2 linked regions of the Xenopus tropicalis genome follow. The protein of the gene in region 2 purifies or fractionates together with the protein of the main gene of each other region. This does not show direct contact. Links are inferred from orthologs where the notes say so. Each region holds a gene or a part of one and is shown on either strand. Other genes may lie near its edges.

The links.
Region 1: the proteins of ssb (region 2) and ro60 purify together in Homo sapiens (affinity purification with mass spectrometry; 3 studies listed by BioGRID and IntAct, with this or other methods). This does not show direct contact. The link is inferred for Xenopus tropicalis from reciprocal best matches to the Homo sapiens genes SSB and RO60.

What each region holds. Positions count from the first base shown.
Region 1 is NC_030680.2:117,842,353-117,846,187, reverse strand, and holds part of ro60 (60 kDa SS-A/Ro ribonucleoprotein), read right to left. Parts: intron 3,681-3,835; 5' UTR 3,662-3,680; coding exon 3,082-3,661; intron 2,514-3,081; coding exon 2,293-2,513; intron 1,857-2,292; coding exon 1,710-1,856; intron 1-1,709. UniProt on the Homo sapiens protein: RNA-binding protein that binds to misfolded non-coding RNAs, pre-5S rRNA, and several small cytoplasmic RNA molecules known as Y RNAs.
Region 2 is NC_030685.2:68,416,518-68,419,075, forward strand, and holds part of ssb (lupus La protein), read right to left. Parts: coding exon 2,502-2,558; intron 2,042-2,501; coding exon 1,941-2,041; intron 1,118-1,940; coding exon 1,046-1,117; intron 591-1,045; coding exon 548-590; intron 405-547; coding exon 264-404; intron 66-263; coding exon 1-65. UniProt on the Homo sapiens protein: Binds to the 3' poly(U) terminus of nascent RNA polymerase III transcripts, protecting them from exonuclease digestion and facilitating their folding and maturation.

The sequences.
Region 1 (3,835 bases), on a different chromosome or scaffold from region 2:
ATGGCAGGGGAAACTCCAAATTCCCCCTAAACGGGTTGCAAGGTAGTCCAGAATCACACATATAGACATACTCCCCAACTATTACCATTATTAGTTTAATATTCACTCCTCAACAGGAATTATGCTGCGTATGGTACAAAGGTCTAACATGTTTTACTTAAAGGGAAGGGCATTTCTTGGTAGCTTAATCCACAGAATGTCTTAATGTCCTATATATTGATAATGGGTGAGTGCAGAGGATCTCATGTTGTTGTCTGTATGAATTTTGTGCCCACAGCCTCATTGCCCCCCTCCTAATGATTTACAATTTAGTGGTGAGCACAGCTTTTCATTGTTTGCTATAGTTTATACAGGAGCAGGGCTCAGCTCCGTGTTGCAACTCCCACCCTTCCCAGCTACAGTCAGATGATTCCAAAGGAGCCAATAAAAGGGCAACCTTTTTGGGGCTTTAACCTTGAAAGTTGCAGGTAATACTCAGTCCCTTTGTTAAATGTATATTGAAGCAGAATAATTCTTAAAGGGGACCTGTCACCCTAAGAAATAATTAGAAATTGTTTTCTATTGTGTTTATCAAGCAAAATAAACTTCAATTACACTATATAAATTATTTTAAACTTATTTCCTTCTGCACTGGAATTCATAATTGCAGAAAACAGGCAGGCTCCATTTTGTGGACACTGTTATTAAGGCAAGCTGTGTATCATACTAAAATCTTGTTTCTGTGCCAGTATGGGGGGACCTGATGCCCATGTCCATGCACTGGTTACACAATTAGATGATGAGGAGGGAGGGGGAATGTGAGGAGGGCAGTGACATCTAAGAAGTTCTGAATTGAAAGTGAAAGTAACTGTCTGCCCCACCCCTATGCCTAAGGCATAGAGGCGGGTCAGGCAATATATGATTGACAGCTGGGACTTTTAAATGCTTATATAATGGGTATAGATGTGTTAATAAAAAAATGACTTTGGGTTACATGTTTAATTTGAAAAGTGCTTTTATTATACAGCTTTTTATGTCTGGGTGACAGGTCCACTTTAATGAATCAGATAAAAGTGAGTGTAGGACTGACCAGAGAGGACGACTTTCATGTAGTTGGCCAGCTTAAAGTATAATGCATATATATATATAATCACTGTTTTACTTAAAGAGGAGGGCATTGCTTGATAGCTTAATGCACAGAATGTTTTAATGTTCTATATACAGTATATTAAAAAAACATAAAAAAACATTTTTTTGCTCAACTGTGCATGCGCGGGCCCCAGATCTCGTCAAAAGGAGGAAGGAAGAGGACGTTAGGGGTGCCTAACATTTGGTGCCCCCAGTGATTTTGCCTTTCCTTCTCCTTTAACTGGCCATGCAGTGTTCACACCTGTAAGCCCCTGTATTGTTCACACTTTGAAGGCGCTGCATTGTTCATACCTATAAGACCTCAGACAGACTGTAGGAGCAGTGCCGGCATTGGTTCACTCTAGATAGTACAGTACAAACTGTTCATGTAGGAGTGGTCATGATCAGTTACTTGGTAGTCATGATATGTTTCCCTGTCTCATTCCCTACTCTGCCTGTGTGCCATACTCTGCCTGACCCTTATGTATTTAAGGGTGTGGCTTAATATGACAAAATATACTTCTTTCACATATAAGTAAAGGGTGATATCCCTGCAGTGAGCACCAATTAAACTATGTTTAATCAGAAACAACCTATAATACCTTCTTCAGCAGTTTCTCATTGGTCAGACGCTCACATACACTGGAGACTTCAGGGCTTGCTGGTGACAACACAGAGTCTGCAGTCATCTTCCCTAAATTCCTTAACAATGCAGTAAGTGGCATTTCCTGCAGCAGTGCCTTCCAGATCTGAAAAATGAAAGCAACATTGTTCTAAAATAAAATGGTACTTATAGGGTTACACAAAGTTTTTAGGGCAGATGGGCGGTTTTCAGCCTGTGTATAAGCAGTATCTACTGCAGGTAAACTATTCGCGTGGGGAATAATCTCCCTGTCTGTCACAGCCCTAACACTACTATAGTTTATATAAATAAGCTGCTGTGTAGCCACTGGGGCAGCCATTCAAGCAGGATAAAATGCACAGGTTACAAAGCAGATAACCTTTGTAGACTACAATAGTGTTTTATCTGTTACCTGCTATGTGCCGTGACACTTTCATTTGTTGGTGTAATTGTTCTTTTAAGAATATTGCAGAAGGAGACATAACAGTGATATTAGCATTTTTTAGCAAAGAAAGAGTGTTATTTGTTTAACCAGATGCATATTTTTGTTAAGTTTTACTCACCTCTTTTGACTTAAGATGAATTGTGAGGAGATGCTCTCTTACCAACCGGTACTCTTCAATCAAGTGAATGACCTCAAGCTCATCCTTGGTACGCTTTACTCTCTCGGTTGCTTCCAGATACTTAAGCACCTTCTCTGTCTCAGGTGAGAGTTCCTTTTCTTTGTATGCCTCCTGGACCTCCTTCCAGCCTTTGGAGACATACTTAGCTACCATGGTTAAACCTGCATTGTAAGCAAAAGAAAGAAAGCAAATGCCTGACTAGACCATATTGTGCTATAAAAAAATGATTTCTTACACATTATATAACAATATATACAATGTTTTTAAAAGAGCAATACAGTTCTCAGAACTCAATAATCTTTAATTAGAATTCATATTTATATCTCCTACTGAAAGGTTTATCTAATCGTGACCAGTTTTAATACTTATTTTTACAAAGCTTAGAGTGGGCTCAGAGCCCACTGTTCCCTGCACATAAGCTACACTCCAAAGTGTTACAAGCAGCAGCACTATATTGCCTATCCATCTGATATTTTGATCCTTAACTCTGCATGCACTTTGCAGTCAACAGATCTCATACAAAAATCTTTAATTAAAATTCACATTTATATCTTCTACTGAAAAGTGTATCTAATCGTGACCAGTTTTAATACTTAATATTACAAAGCTTAGAGTGGGATCAGAGCCCACTGTTCCCTGCGCATAAGCTACACTCCAAGTGCAAGCAGCAGCACTATATTACCTATCCATCTAATATTTTGATCCTTAACTTATAAAATGACTACCTACCTTCACTAGCAGGTTTTATGTGAGACAACCTTAGAAGATCCTTGTGGGACCAGCCATTTCTTTGCTTGTACTTTGTGACAGCCATTGCCAAATTAAGGGCATCTTTAGTGGTATACCAGTCAGAGACAGCTTTCCGCAGAGCTCGCCCCCACATGCCACATTTCATGCCTTCTTTCAAGTCTTTCTTGAACTGGATGAAGGTAAAGAGATGGGTGGGGATACGACATACTTCAGGCACAGCCCTGAAAGCTGCTTGCTTGGTCTTTATATCAGAGCACTGGGAGCAGACTGCTAGGGCAAAAAGTGTGGGCTCCTGTTTGGCAGCTCTTCCTTCTTGGCTGAATGTTTTGATCTCCTGGACAACTTCACAACCTTTGCCATCTTCTATGAGCCTTAGAAGAGCTTCTGCATTCTCCTGGCCCAGTTTCTTTTCTTCAATGTAATAAGTCCCACCTTCTGATCCAAAGCACAGGAATCGTCTTAACCGGTTCATATCCGACACTTGCCACACATAGCATCCTTCAGAATTGGGCACCTGCCTCTCACTTAAGGGCTGTGTTTGATCCACTGTGTCATCCATTTTTACTTTCTTGAACCTACTGGAATTATGACCATTGATTATACATATTTGGCAGCACAAAACAAACATCTAACTAAGACACTGTTTTGTCAGTGCAGCTCTAACCAAAATCCATGCAAATCATGCTCACGTGACCAACAGTGGCATAGCCAAATCAGCCACATATCCCCCTCA
Region 2 (2,558 bases):
TCATTGTTGGCAGCCATGGCCTTGTCCAGTGCTTTTTTAGCATTCATTTTAAATAATACAATTCCCTTAGGAAACAGAACAGTGAATTAGTCAAAAGCCTAATAAGCTGTATAGTGCTGCCATTCTATTACTATCTAGTGGTAATTAATGAAAGGTTCTGTTGACCCATAGCAACTTAATCAGTTGATAGTCAGCTGTTGATCAACCAATCAGATGTGTGTTGTCAAACATTACTAGACCTAATCAAGTAGTGTGGTCGTTACCTCTTTAGCTCCCCTGCTAAAGTCAATCCATTCAATATCTCCATGAGCCTGAAACAGAGCCGAAAGGTCTTCTCTTGATGTCATATTGTCCAAGTCACCAGAGAACTTCAGGAGGCGGCCAACCCTTTCTTCCATCAGTTTCTGTGAATAAACAAGTGCTTACTTTTAAACCTTCAATGGGCCTGCTTTGAATGCTGAAGCAAGGCAACTGCCTGACGACAGTCTATAAATCCATAAGCAAGACAATCAAATAAACTTATATTTAGTTCTTAACTTTCACTTACCCTTTCTGCATCCTCAGCCTGTTTCTGGGCTTCTTCATTTTCCCTGAAAAAGGAAAAATTGTTAATAAAATCATATTTCTGTATATGCATGGATACCAGATTTTATACTACAAAACCTTAAGAATCTAATATATCAAGTAGTTGGTCTAAGGTGCAGGATTTATCAAAATTTGCATTTGGACATGGAAAAAAATAAAAATAAAATAACCACGGCAAAACATATGCAACTTTTCTTACATGCTAGATAATTTAAGAAAACACTAGAGCATAGTCCCAGTCGCATGCTGGTAAGAATCACATGGTTCCATTCATGTTTAAATAACTCAAATAGCCAGCTTTTATTCAGGTTTTTTCTGGTGATTTTTCTTGGATTTTTTTTAATACAGAACATTCATGGTTCTTAACAATATTCTTGAATATAGTCCCATTAGCATTTTTTTCTTGAATAGTGAAATCAGCCCCTAAGTTTGCATAATGCTAAGATTGTTTTTTACTTACTGCTTTGATTTGGCTTTTTCTTCAGACTTATTTAGCTTCCTCTCTTGATTCTTTTTTGCAAAGTATTCTTCCCTGTAAATAAAGATTATTATATGGAATGTGCGTAACAGTTACTCAAAATCTTCTGCAGCGATTTTTCACACGATTATGAACTGCCATGAGTAGATAGTGCAATTTTTTTTTATCCCATATATATTATGTTGGTCGGCGGAACCTACTATATGAAGCTTAAAGCAATGCCTCAGGGTGAGTTTAAGCAGAGAAGCTATGTTCTGTTGACCCTGGACTTAAAAGAAATCTCCACCCAAACAGTTTTGCATAATGAAGGAAAATGTAATTCAAAACAACTTTCCAATACATTAAATTTTTAGTGGTTGTCTGGCTGTTTCAAAAGTCAGAAGCAGAGAACATAGACAAATACTGCTTCCATTTGGCATTAAGGGGTATAGTTATCATGCTGTGTAAAAAGTGGAGTGAAGCATTACCAGTGATGTTGCCCAGGGCAACCAATCAGAAATTAGATTTCAACAGTTCTAAAACCCAAGCAAAGCATCTGATTGGCTGCTATGAGCAACATCACCGGTAATGTGTTACTCCACTTTTTACACAGCATGATAAATATACCCCTAAGTGTACAAAATTTCTAAACTGTATACATTGCAGTTGCTTAGATTTACATTTTATGTAATTATGCAAAAAAACACTTATATGGGCTTTAACACTCCATAAGATGAATAGCAGTAAGTGTAGCCAAAGCAAGTTAACAGTGGAAGACAGGCACAGACTCGGTGCTTGTGGTACACTACCAAAAAGTCATTTAAAAAAAAAAAAAAAAAGTTGACATTTGACCTGTGGATGTTTTTTTTGCGTTTGTTTTTTTAAGATATTCACCTACTTTGATAGGATAATCATATCACTGTCATTGTACTTTCGGTTTCTGTCTTCCAAAAACTTCTTTGCCTCATCCTCTGTATTAAAAATGAGAAAGATGGAGCCCTGCAAAAAAACATTTGTTTTAATGAGCAATCAGAGCACAGAAGTAAATAGCTCTATTGTACTGAAGGGATATTCAGTATGTATATGTGTTCTCTTGTGAAGCATTATGAAAAATATAATGGAGGGGGAACATGTCCTGTATTTTATTTACTGCTGTTGCTTGCAGTCCACGTACCCTAAAATGGTCCTGATTCAGAATAAAGAAAAGGGAGAGATGTTCTGACATTTCGTCTGCAGTACCAGAGCCTGTCCCATCCAAAGGCTTGTATATTAACTACTAGCCGCTGAACTGAGAAGAAGGCAGCAAACACTTAGCCAAGCACAGACATTCCGAGCAGTTATTTTGCACCTAATGCACTGCAGGGCATACTGTGTTTATCATAGGATCCCCTTGAGTATGTCCTAAGCCTTTATTTGGGGATAGAATTGTGACTCTGAAATGTGGCTTTCCCACACTTACCTTAAATTCTTTCTGGAGTGTTCTCCTCATTTGGATATTTTCAATAGGACCTTTGTC